Linked DNA regions of Daphnia pulex. The protein of the gene in region 2 purifies or fractionates together with the protein of the main gene of each other region. This does not show direct contact. Links are inferred from orthologs where the notes say so. Each region holds a gene or a part of one and is shown on either strand. Other genes may lie near its edges. The genes, in order: TATA-binding protein-associated factor 2N-like and dynamin-1-like protein.

Region 1 (6,647 bases), on a different chromosome or scaffold from region 2:
TCACGAAGAGGTGGTTTTTAGGGCACACCTGTCAACCCTGCTAAAACAAATAATAATTCAATTAGTTCAAGCTGGTTTAAGAAAGGCGTTTTATTTTTTTGGTTACCTATGAGGATTTAGCCGAGGGCCGGGAAATCCTTCTCATCGTCCACTTTAGGAGCGGCTGGCATGGACGGACCGCGATTACCACCACGGGATCCTCTTCCGCCACGGTAAGTACCACGTTCGCCTCCTTCGCGATCGCCGCGGTATCCACCACGATATCCGCCACCACCTTCACGTTGTTCGCCTCCTTCGCGATCGCCACGGTATCCACCGCGGTAACCTCCACGGTAGCCGCCTTCACGTTGCTCGCCTCCCTCGCGATCTCCGCGGAAACCTCCACGGTATCCGCCACCCTCACGGGTCTCGCCTCCCTCGCGATCGCCACCGCGGTATCCACCACGGTAACCTCCTTCGCGTTGCTCGCCTCCCTCGCGATCTCCGCGGAAGCCTCCACGGTATCCGCCGCCTTCACGTTGTTCTCCACCTTCGCGATCGCCGCCGCGGTATCCACCACGGTAGCCTCCCTCGCGATATCCACCACCTTCACGTTGCTCTCCACCTTCGCGGAAGCCTCCACGGTAACCGCCTTCGCGATCACCACGGAATCCTCCCTCGCCGCGACCCCTTCCGCGACCACGACCACCGCGATCGCTTCCACGACGCGAGTCAGAGAAGCGGATCTCGATGTCCAAACGCTTTTGGCGTCCAGCTCGTTGAGGATACTCGGCCGTCAGATCGATAATTTCCTCTTCGCTTTCATCGTCATCCTTCTTCTTGTCAAGAACAAAGGTCTTTTTCCATTGAGAGTTGTCTTCACCTTCTCCTGGCTTGCGAATATTGAACTCGGGCTTCTTGCGTTCACCCCTCAGAGCTCTCCACTCATCTAGCGTCAACTCCTTGGGCTCTTCATCTTCAGGAGCCACTGGAGCAGTCTCTTCTCCCTCCCTATAATTTGGAAAAGATTCAAATTATTATTTTACATCTAATAACAATTTCAATGGTAAATGTAAGTCTTTAAAAGTTGTCAGCATCCTTTTGGCTTGCCTTATTCAACGAAAGTTTCTCTGAAATCTTTCTCGGCGTCAAAGTCTCATCAGTTTGAAATAAAATAACAAAATAGAACCCATGCACAGTAGATAGTGGTTCAAGCTAGGAAAACAATTAGTTTAAAAATAAAGCCTTATTTACTTGACTTCAGCTGTTTCAGCAGGAGCGACGACTTCAGCCTCTCCCTCGACAACCTCTTCAGCGACAGCAGGCTCCAGCTGGCCCTCAATTTCGTCTTGGACGCTTCCCCAATTGTGCGGACCACTACCTTCACGTTTCTCAATGGGTTTAACGCCACTCTTGTCAGAGCCAGATTGGCGGTCAAAATCGCGTTTGCCTCGTTGGTCTTGCATACCGCCACGACCGCGTCCACGACCACGGCCGCCACGGTCTCCGCCGCGGAACGCACCTCGTTCACCACGGAACGCCGAGCGAGGACGGAATTCAGCATCGTTACCCGTGCCAGGAGATCCACCCTCCGTGTTAGTCACGGATCTGAAATTGTTCCAGAAAGGTTAACATTAAAATATTATGAAGGAGAAAACAACAAAGGAAATAGTTGAGATAATCACACATAATTGCTACAAGCTTTTCAGTATCCTTTTGGCCATGGCTTAGTCATTGAACACTCGCCAAGATAGATCTCATCAGATAGCTTCACAATTTAAAGGAATCAATTATGGAAGTAATTCTCACCCAAAATCCCTAGGACGGTCTTCATTCCTCCTGTTGTTCCTTTCTTCTCGGGGAATGCTGTTGGGGAAACGACCTCCCCTGTCTCCCCTTGGTGGTCTAGGACCAAGGCCAGATCGATATCCATCTAAAAACAAAGATAAATGCCTGTTATTAGAAAATCACAAAATCTTTCGCAGAAATATTGATCATTGTTTACAATCAGTATCCTTTTGGTTAGCTCTCAACAGAAACATTCAATGTTTCTTCACTAAAAAGATTCTCATCACAAACAAAATTACACATTAACAACAAGGGCCAATAGCTCACATTTATAAAATAGAAGTAATTGGAAAATGTAAAAAATATCAGGTGTGAAGATAGAGAGTTGAAATCCCCGCAACGTGGTGACCACGTTGTCAGCGGCTCAAGGTCATAAAACTCGTCTAGTAACTTCCAAGAAAAATACTATATTGGAAAAAAAAACTCACCTTCACGGGGCTTGTTTTGTTCGGCGGGTTTGATAACATTGGCTTGCGTCTCCTTTAGTACAGCAGTTTTCTTAGCTGCTGTAGCTGGTTGAGTAGGAGCTCCACCGGATTTGCCTTTGACTTCGGCCGGCTTCGCACTACCAGTTTTAGCTCCGGCATCGACTGTTTTCTCTGCCGGTTTCTTGGTTTTCTCCTTAATGACTTCCAGAGGATCTTCACCCTCATCTAAAAACAACGCATACCTATGATTGAAATACAAGTCATTAATACATGAATCCATTTTTATGTGTAGAAGGTGTATATTTGCCTATTGGTGATTCCTATCCCGTACGTGGCCTCCATGCTTTCCTGGGGCCCTGTAACACAAAATGAAAGGTAAATTAAGCCACTCGGAACAAATGCTTACAGAAAAGTTGCCAAGAACGACTCTAAGAACAAGTCCCACAGCACAATGAAAAACTATGGACAGCCACACGATAGTGTGCGAGTCACAATAAGATCACATGCTTTGAAGAAAACGTTGAACACGCGACGACAGGAGAATATGCGTAAATAACGCATATGACTCAAATGAAAACGATATAAATAGCTAGTTAACTGCATTAAAGAAATAATTTTACCTGTGACTTGACGCCCCGATGAATCTGGATATAAATTTTGCTGTTAACAGCGATTCTAACCGCACAATCATGAAATGAAGGGGAATTCTGACTACTGGAGTTGCCAGTAGAGGACTTCTACTACTGGAGCTTGCCTTCGTTAAAGGCTGTGGTGTTGCCGGACCACGTCTCTGCGACAAATTAAAAAAAATTTCAATATGCGTTGTCTAAAACCAATTTAACCACTAAATATTATTTTAGAATTATTCAAATTGTCTTTTTTTTATGTGTTGTAACTTTGCAATTATTTAAAGTGGAAATTTGAGTCGGCAATGACGCCATGTTTTGAGCGCCAAAACGTTGGAAAAAAAGCGGGGGAAAGGGGGAACACGCTTCTGTTGTCAGTGGTAACTGTCGGTGTGGGAGATTTTACGTCGTGAGACTTTATCAAAAGAAAGTGATTTTTTGGAATATTAGTGTTGTCAACTGTTACTAAGAAGATGGAAGGAATAATGCTGCATGCCTACGAAACCCCGAAAAGGTGTCGAATGAAAGAAGAAGATCAATCTTTCATTCTACTAGATAACTCTGCTCTCACTGGTCAAAGCTGCGTCACTGATAGTGACGATTCGCTGACTACTAGAGCCAATTACAACGAAAATAGTCTGAAAAGAGGACGACCGAGAGCTGAAGTGATCAATAATCTGATTATTGAAGGATCTTCATCTCACAGTTCAATTCGTTGTGATATCTGCAATCGTGTATTTCCCCGAGAAAAATCCCTCCAAGCCCACAAAAGAATCCATACAGGGGAAAAGCCCTACTGTTGTGATTACCCTTCATGTGGCAAAGCATTCACTCAAAGTGGGCAGCTAAAAACACATCAGAGACTACATACAGGAGAGAAACCTTTTATTTGTAGTGTTGCTGGGTGAGTGACAATACATTTTGATTGATATTAATGTAATAATATTAATGTTAATTTTGATGTTTTCTCTTTAAAGGTGTAACAGCAGATTCACTCATGCCAATCGACATTGTCCAGATCATCCTTATGCTGGACTACGAAGAAATCATGAGCTGGCCCTTCATGCCTTGAATAATCAAACTGAAAACAACTCACCAGAAGTTCTCCTTTGGCTGGAAAAGTATGTTGATTTTATATGGTTTTCAAGAATGCAAATTAATTATAATTTTCTGTTTGACTCTCAGTTACAGGAAGAGGAATGATGAAAAAACACCAGGCAAGTTGTCTGATACCAACGACGATACCGATTCTAGTATTAGAATTAAGAAATGTCGAACAAAGAAAGCCTGCTGGTCAAGTGACTCGCAACAAGAAAACGAACAACAGAATCAGGATAATAACATCAACAGACAGCACCGTAGAAGCAAAGGCAGCATCGCCAAATCACTGCACTATGGAATGGAATCAACTAGTGATGAAACCCATTCGATTCCCCTCTATCGGTTAGTGTTACTAAAACTATCAAATGTCTTTCTCGGATTGCATCTGACATTCATTTGCTTTGTTACAGGAAACTTTGCGAAGCTGTAGAGCCTTCTTCGTTTGGCTGTACTCCTCTTCAATGGTCTCCGAGGTCGAACAACAACAAGAACAAGTCCATCATAACTAGTCCGACTAAATCGACACCGCGCCGCGACATATCATCCGGATATGAATCTTTGCTTCAGGAGTGCCACCTCAACAGTACCTTGGATTCCAGTCGCGAAAACGTCATGAACGAAACGGCTAACGGTTCCAGCGGATTTTTGGCGCTGCCTGACACACCTGTCCGTCCCGAAAAACCCAAGCGGCGTTGGCTGCGTGAAGCTCTTACGAGTAACAACGAACAGCTCATTACCAACATGAACCGACCCAGTGTCATAATAGCTTCACCCAGGGTATTTCAACCCAAAAACACGTCCACACCAGATAAACCCAATAACAGCACCTTAATGCGAGCACTCCAAAACGCCGAAAAACAATGGACTGGCGCGATTGCTTTGATGCAGCTGGCCTCTTCAAGTTCGCAGTGCTGAAAAGAAAATGAACATAATGAATTCACCAAAGTTTTGTCTCTCTCAATAACCTATCCTTCCAATTCTGTCAATTTCTAATCTGCTGTTCCATTTCCTTGTAATTGCTCAGTGAAAAACGGTATTATTTTCGCTTATTATGATATTTCTCCATTTCCATCACTACTTTATTTTGAGAACTCTTTCTCGTACCTGAAAGATGAATCGACTGTTCTCTTCACTACTTATTTAATTTACTCTCTCCTTTCGATCCAGTGTCTTGATGAAGCTTTAACCAATCGATTCGTGCTTTTGGTGTTTACTCTTTTAATCTTGCTGATAGAGAAGACCAATACTTAGAACCCAACTGTAGTTTTGAAACGAAACAAAAATTCACTCCATGTTCGTAATTTTCTTAGTGCTGTGTGTTTATGTATCTCGGCCTTTTTAATACAAAGCCATTTTTTCCCACATTACAATTGCACGTCCAAAGGGTGGTACAGTTCACTGAGGAGTCGGTAGATGTAAGACGGTGCATTGCCTCCGCTAGAGAAACAAGTGTGATTATAAAATAGATACTTCTTCATTATCTTCAAACTATTTAAAAATAATTCGCTTACGTATTTGAAATAAAGAGTGTGACGAGCTCTGGAGGTACGTAGTCGAAAATTGGATTGTAGACGTTCACTTTGGAAACGAGCTTGCCTTCGTCGTTGTTCAATACTTCCTCGGGTGACACAAACTGGTTGAATCCATCTTGATCAAGGCTACAGACATATTCGGGACAGAGTTTAAACATTGGTGCACATACGACGAACTGAAATCATAAAAAATAAATTATTTTAGCTGAAAGTGTAGGCCTACAAAACTTATTCCATTACCGGAACCGAATAATGCTTTGCAGCCAGTGCAAGGGTATGAGTGCCACACACTGCTTTTAGACCACCGTTGGCCATAACAGAATGAGTACCGATGATTACTTTATTCACACGTGCCATCATTGCGAAAATGGCAGAATCCGGAATAAGGGTAGTAGAGATACGAGCTTCGGCTAAATCTGCAGCCAATTGATGTCCCTGTAATAATAGTCTGGAGTAAATATACAGGTGTTATGCAAATAAACGTTTTCAAATTCGCTGCCTACGTGGAAAAATGGAGCACATTCAGCAACGATGACCTGGAAAACACGATTTTTCGCAGCTGACTTCAGAAACGCCGAGACAGTTTTAGAATAACCAATAGTCATGATGATTTCGTTAGCGTGAATGTGTTCTAGGGCCTGGGCGGAAATGTCGATTTCACTGTGGAAACAAATTAAGGTAGTTGAATAGGCTGTGAAGCTAGACATGTGGTAAATTCTCAAACCTGGATTCTAATTCGGCAAGGAACTCTCCAATGTGCTCCATGATGGCTGGTTTGAGCAAGGGGATGTTTTTAGTGTAATCAGAATCACTTTCATCTGCTGTGAGAATTTTTTGAAGTGAGTCTTGCAAATCAGATTCTTCTTGTTTTCCTTTCTGCAGCATGGCATACTCATCCCTGACAATCTTTAACATTCTTCTTGTCATGTTGCCAATGACTGTTTCTGAAGGTGCAGTCTCTGCCAAATCTTTACCTATTCTTTTTATGGTGTCCATAAGCTCCCTACAGATTGAATTGAATCACTTAATAACTGGAACAGGAATTCTGGACTTGAGATAAACTAACAAACCTTGCATTCTGCCATTTCATTTGACCAATGATTTTTTTCCAAAGCTGTACGGAATTAAGGGCC
Region 2 (6,838 bases):
CCCACTTACACAAAACATCCCACCCGCACTCCAATTAGTTGAAACTGATGTCGTCACTGTCAAATCAACAAAACTTTGTCGATGTAAAAAAGAGTGCTTTTACCACTAATTAGTTTAAACCTAATCAATTTTAATTACGCAAAAAAAAAATTTGCTTCGTTGTTTATATTACCTATTATTTCAAGATCTCGTGTTTCTTTCAGATGGGCGTGTATCAAAGTCTCAACTGGTGGCGAAGAATTGCTTGCAGCACGTCTCGATCCGGAATTGCAGGTGCACAAAGTTTAAAAAATTTCCTGGTAAAACCTCGTTACAAGTCAATGCGGCCCGTGGGTGATGTCTTTACCACTGGCCAAGTTCTGTTGGATGTAAGTTGATGCTCCGATGGAAGAGCTCTTTATTTGAATTGCCAGTTCCCTTTTTTGTTAACACCACACGGCGGCAGTTGCGCAGTACCATCTGCTGTCCATAGAGTTCAATTTGCTCCATGTATAAATTGTATAGGTTTATTATGTATCACCGTACACTTCTACGTCGCTAATTATCAATGCAATAGAAAATCTGTCGAATTATTGAGAACAGCAAAGCTAATGAGGCTACATTGATTCATTTTCTGTTGCTAGATTTTTGTTTCTGACGGAAAAATCTCTTGAAAAGTGTATACCATTTATTCGTTATTTTCGGTTCATTTTCGATCCTATTACGTCACATTCATTACGGTGAATAAAAGAGGAAAGAGAGTGGGTTTCAATAATTTAGATGTCAAAAGTAAAATTTCAATGAGAAACCGAACATTAATTAGCTAAGAAAAAACTTGTTAAAGGCTTAAAGCATTTAAAGAGAAATCGTAATGATTGAACACTCACCTCGATTTGCACTTAATTGCTGAAATGATTTACATTTGATATCCCTACAGAACGTTGGATGAAGTAAGTCTTGTATCGAATCTGGTAAGTTCGGCTGTCAACTGATTTGGCGTGTAACTTTTGAACGTATATAACTAGTAGACTAACTAACGTTAATTTGAAGTGGGAAGCCACGTGACTAGGCCCGCAGTGGTGTCCGACCAACTGTACAATTGTACAGTTGCCCACGCGCCAACTCAGGCCACTGAATAGCCCATCTACAAATAAAGAATTGACTGGCGACAAGTTACAAGTATTTTCTCTTTCGGCTGGTTGCGTTCGGCCCAGGAAACGTGGCATAAATATTGAATGTTTCTCTAACAAGATCTCTTTTTATTTCGGAGGTGTTAACCGCAACTTTAAATGGAATTCCCCAGGACTTATACATTCCCAAAACCAAGTCGACGAAAATGGTAAATTAACTTTCTCTTAGACTATATAGCCCTCGACTAAACAACGTTAATACTTAATCAAAAGAAGTACAGCGAAGGGCGGCCGTTGGACAAGACGAGAAAAGGTACAGAAATTCCCGGAATCGCCACATATTGTCCAGTTTTCACACCAAAATGGGAACCTATAATTTTAATATTGCATGTATTGCATAAATCAGTGGGTGTGAGTGGGCATGATGCCCCGTAAGTTGCGAAACTGAACGTCTTCAATTTTCCTTTCGGGACTGAGTTCGGGAGTAATTTCATCCTTACACGAATAAATTTTCCCTCTTTCTATGCCATCTAACGGTCACGTCACGTGTTACATTTTCCCTCGCGCTCATATTTCACACCATTTGAATTTCTTATTTCACACGAATCTCGATTTCCAATAAATAACATAACTCCCTTCAACTATTTCAACTTTCAGTGTCATCAGCTTAAATCCACTATTTTTTTAAAGTTTGATTCAACTTCTTTCCTTCACGACGTGAAACATTTTTCCCAGCACCAAATGTTGCTAACTGCCATGCTTTCTTTTCCAATGCTTGGTTTTTATTTTTAAACTGATTAGAAGTTTAGAAATAATTAGATATTACCAAGATTGTACCATCATCCATCATAAAGAATTACTAACCTTAGTTACACACGATAAATGACTCAGAGACGATCAATGAAATCAACTGACGATTCTTATTATTATTCTTTTTTTTTCCTGCAATTGATTTAAAAAAGTGTTGATGTTCAAAAAGATGTTTTAAGAAAAATATATATATTTTCAAGTCATTGAAATAAATAATCAGTAGATTTGGCAATCGACAAGAAGAACAGAAAATTGGCGGGATAAAATCGTGGCAATTTTCATTTCCGACCGACGAGTCGACGAGGTAACAGCTAAACACTTACGATTCGAGTTCTCTAAAAACTTAAAAATGGTAAAGGTGATGCACGTGATAAACTTTCATATTTACATTTTAAATTATAGCGGGTGAATAAAAAATTTACTGTGAATTCATTTCGTTATTTAAAAAACGAATCGATTAATCTTGCATATACTCACGGCCATGGCCACACGTGGTTCGAAGTTATTCAACTGCACAAAGTGAACTTGAATTTTTAACTGATGACATTTATATGTACTAAAACAAACCCATAAGATCTCTAAGCCTGTGTACTTAATGGAAGTGTGAACATCAGAAGGTTGGATTTAGTGGTTTGTTGTGGCAGACCTCAAAACCTTTTCCGGGAACAGACAAAGAGATTGACCAGTTCTACCATCTCCAGAGTGTCGAGGGATGAAAGCCATGGCGTAGATGACTTTTCTTCAGCAACAGACAGAACAGCTAGCGACAATGGAGGAAATCATCTGGCAATCCCCGAAATTGTAAGTGGCACAACCTATTATTTCAATTCAATTATTATTCCAAGTGTTTGTGCTGGCTTATTATCTGAAACCATAGTCTTTGATAATTGCTAGTTTTTTTCTTATTGGGAACCTTTGCACTATTGGAAAGTTTGGTTGATTAGCCAAAAAAATTGAGTAAAATTACCATATTGACACTGTGTGCAGTTAGGCTACTTTTTCGCGGTTTTTTCTTTGTTATCAGGAAGCTTTCCTAATTGTGCAATTATGAACAGTGCTCGTCATTGATTGACTGTCTTAAAGTTTCTTTTTTCTTGAACGATTTGTTCACGTGGTTTAAATTTCTTTTTCACGACTTTATTTACACCAAATCAATAGAAAAGCTTCATTTTTGGCCGCTAGATGCCAGATAAAAAGCTACATTTGTCTACCGCTAGATGGTGTTGCTACCAAGAAATGCGCAGATTTGAAAAATCGAATTTGCCGATATCTACAACACACACACCTTTTGATGTCGATGAATTGTTTTCCACGAAATTTCCTTCTTTTCTCTTGATTGCGTGAAAAACGCCAAAGTTGAAGTTTTTAACGCCGTCAAAGTAGCTCGCCCCGATTGGACTAGTTGCAACGTCTTGCCCAACTTGTCATATTATTAAATAGAATCGAGTACTACGTAGCAGCAGCAGCAAATCATCTAATGGAGCATCAGTTACGTGTGGGTGGGTGGCGCAGTTCCTTTGATTCCTCCGTTCCGTTGCTCTCGTAGGGGAAACATCAAAAGGAAACCTTGATCAAGTCAGACTCGGAATTCAATCAACTTGCCAGAATAAAGTAAAGGGAAAAAGGTATTATATGCTCAGGGAAAAAAGAACTACATTGATATAAAAATTTCTGTTAAATTGAAACGGTAAAAGCCTATTGTTATCCGCCCCTTTTCTTCAACCTTGTATTCTTATCACCCGCCCCTTTTGATATGTATATATATATAATATCAATGCGTATATCCTCTGGATTTTGTCGAAGCGGAAACCCCCCCATCCATCCATCCAGCCCTACGAACAACACACAACAACCCAACGGGAAATTCTCTCGCCAAGAATGTTGGGAAACCAATCAGTCCATTTGTGTTGTCGCCCAACCCCATTGAATGTGAGGAAATCTCCTTGAGAGATGGAAGATTCCTTTATAAGACTCTCTCTCTGTGTATGTGATGGAATTAGAGACATTGATTATATATTTCCTCCCCACTTGAAAACAGGCCGGCAGGTGGAAATAGTCACACGGACGCTGGTGAAAATCCCCATTGACTTTTTGTGTTTCCTTTCCCGAAAAATTATTTTATTTTCTGTGGTGGTGGTGGGGGGGATAATTGAATGATGGGTCGAGGACTGTATCGCTTGTTTTCACAGTCTCTCGAGCTGATTGGAATTGCAAATTGAGTTCATCTTCTTATCAACACAAACAAGAGTTTCAGCAGCAGCAGCAGCAAAGTAATCAAAAGCGTCGAGTTGATTGCCCAAAGAAGTTTTTGAAGCTCTCGAATCGATTGGTTGATTCTCCCTTGTGGTGGTGAGAACCCTCTAGAGAGACTCCCGAGTTGTGTGTTTGTGTGTGGAAGAAGGTCAGAGTGCAACAACAGCAGCAGCACATACAATAAACATGTAGTGCAGTCGTTACTCGGCGGTCGTCGTGAGCAGTAAAAATAAGGGAAGAAACGTCGGCGTGAAAGATTGACGCATCGTGTGTGACTGGAAATAAGCGATGGGCTCCTTTTTGGATAGAGAGAGGAGAGATCAATGATTCAGGAGCGCCTCTGGGTCTCCATCCAATCGCTCTAAAAGCTTCTTCTTTCTATTTTCCTTTCTGAAATTTTCCGTGTTTTTATTTGATTTTTTATTTTCTGAGCCACTATCGATCGCCTTTTGGGCCCGGCAGGTATCTTACCTGAACTCCATCATCTTCGGCCCTCCAGTCGGAAGAAGAAATCCATCAATATCGATAGAAGCAGCAGCGGTTGTTGTATTTTTCTCCGTTGGGGCAGGGGGGGTTGCCAGCCTCCCCATTGATTAGATATAGAGCAAAATAAAGAGAGAAAAACTAGGGCCTAGAAGTTGTGTGGGCTACGTACGTGTGGCATCATCATCATCAAAGTAAGGAATCGTGTTGGGGGCTGGTAATCAGGGCGTCATTAATCTTGACCTCGAGATCCTCCTGTCACACATCCAGCCACAGCAGCAGCAACAACAACACAAAAGAGAGAAAAACATTGTAGATTATAAATATATATTTATATATAGCTGCTGCTGCCCAGTCAAACTCTTAGAGATGTACAGGCGAAGGGGGCAATCGCTTAGGATTAGAAGAACCAACCAACCAACCCCCCCGTACACTTTGAGTCGTCTCGTGAGAGCGCCAGATTCGAAATGTTACTTTTCTCTTTCTCTTACTTTTAGTTGTTGTTGTTGTTGTTGTGGGGTGTATGTGCTGCTGGAGGGGGGAGAGAAGGTTATAATCCGTTTGATACCCCGGCACGTGTGCAATAAGTCTTTATGGGTGCAGTACGCAGTAGATATATACGTTTATATTCAGAAGGGGGGGCCCCAAAAAGCCGGAGAGCTTCTAATATTGCTGAATCCATCCAGCCTCCGCCCGCCCTTCTCGGATATAATATCCTAAGAGGAACTACTACACAAAAGGGCCCAAAGAATATAGACGTAGTATATATCTATTTGAAACGGATCCAATTCAATTGTTAAAGGCTAAATTGAAAAGAATCTTTTTTTCTTTTTTTTTAAATCCACGAAATGAAAATGCAACAACAACAACAGCCCATCAATCGGATGGATAAACAAAACTCCCAGGAACGAAATCCAATCATTCTGTAAATTCTGAAATCGATTTTTTTTCAATATATGAGAGGTCGTCATGTGTCGGTTTGAATTCAATTTCGGCAACTCTTAACGAGAACCTGACGAGATTTGGTGAGCCGTAATGAAACGGGTGAATGATATTCATAATGAGGTGGCAATGATCTCTCCACTTTTGTTTTTAAATCTCTCTTTTGTTTTATTGGTTCACGCAGTTTCGTACGGGAGTGGGGGGGATAAAAGCTCGTTAGCGTTTCATTTGTTTATAACTGCTGCTGCCTAGACTCATCTACACTGAGTCTACTTAACAATAATAATAATAATAACAGACTATATAAGTTTTAAAGGGGAGAAAAAAAAGCTTTTGGGTTGCCGGCGGTTTACTTTTGGGGCTCACGAGAGAGAGAAAGAAAAAGAGAAAAAGGAAATTGGGTTTTTGGCTGCTGAGGCCAATTATCTCATAGCATGCAACAAGGATTCATGGTCTAATTGCCCGAGGATCCCCTGCCCCCGCCTACACCACCCACTGGGTCTAATCGAATCAACTCTATCTATAGTATAGACTCGTATACTCGTATATAGATTCTTGTGCGAGCCGGTTGTATTATATTATGATTAGGGAATAATCCTTTTTTTCCTGTTGTGGGTTAATTGACTTGCGCGACGACTCGATCGATGGATATTATCTCGCTGGCCCCAAATTTCTACGTATCGGCAAAAACGGGATTGAAGGAAAGTGATCAAGACTTTCCCAAATAATAAAAAAAAATAATAAAAACCGAGGGCGTGAATCAAAGTGGACCTTTTTGATTGATTCGTCTTTTCATTGTCTTTTTTCTTTCTTTTCTTTTGACTCCCATTTTTCACGGACTGACCCGCTGCTGCGTCACCGTTATAATAACCCGGACATTTGGCCCGAGGGCCTTAAATAATGGCTTAGAGAGCAGACTAGCACTATATAGCTGGCTGGCTAATAATCTCTGACCCGATTCGTGGCTCTGCACGAATCGTGAATTCGTGACTGGAATCCCGAAAATGGAAAGCCGCGAAACAACGTTCAATTCACTTGTGTGTGATATCTCTATATACAAGAGAGTTTGAGAGAGAGAGGCTTTGATTGATTCCCGGCGAAAAAATAACTTTGATTCAGCCGGGGAAACACAAGAAAAATGTTTTATTTTTATTTTTTCTTTCTGCCATGTTTATTTCGAGTAAAAAACGTGAAGACGTGATCATTCTTCCACATCTTTTTATTAATATCCAGCCCGAGTG

What was found.
Region 1: the proteins of dynamin-1-like protein (region 2) and TATA-binding protein-associated factor 2N-like purify together in Homo sapiens (affinity purification with mass spectrometry; 3 studies listed by BioGRID and IntAct, with this or other methods). This does not show direct contact. The link is inferred for Daphnia pulex from reciprocal best matches to the Homo sapiens genes DNM1L and SERBP1.

What each region holds. Positions count from the first base shown.
Region 1 is NC_060019.1:5,855,930-5,862,576, forward strand, and holds the start of TATA-binding protein-associated factor 2N-like, read right to left. Parts: upstream 4,067-6,647; 5' UTR 4,003-4,066; coding exon of another isoform or gene 3,859-4,002; intron 3,786-3,858; coding exon of another isoform or gene 3,355-3,785; exon of another isoform or gene 3,046-3,354; 5' UTR 2,876-3,045; exon of another isoform or gene 2,612-2,875; 5' UTR 2,598-2,611; coding exon 2,563-2,597; exon of another isoform or gene 2,498-2,562; coding exon 2,256-2,497; intron 1,913-2,255; coding exon 1,789-1,912; intron 1,588-1,788; coding exon 1,234-1,587; intron 991-1,233; coding exon 117-990; 3' UTR 107-116; intron 41-106; exon of another isoform or gene 38-40; 3' UTR 1-37. Other genes in the region: asparagine-rich zinc finger protein AZF1-like, read left to right, coding at 3,355-3,785, 3,859-4,002, 4,067-4,324, 4,393-4,897; translation initiation factor eIF-2B subunit beta-like, read right to left, coding at 5,347-5,419, 5,494-5,690, 5,755-5,949, 6,018-6,174, 6,239-6,517, 6,585-6,647. UniProt on the Homo sapiens protein: Ribosome-binding protein that promotes ribosome hibernation, a process during which ribosomes are stabilized in an inactive state and preserved from proteasomal degradation.
Region 2 is NC_060025.1:9,307,372-9,314,209, forward strand, and holds the start of dynamin-1-like protein, read left to right. Parts: upstream 1-2,516; 5' UTR 2,517-2,720; intron 2,721-6,838. UniProt on the Homo sapiens protein: Functions in mitochondrial and peroxisomal division.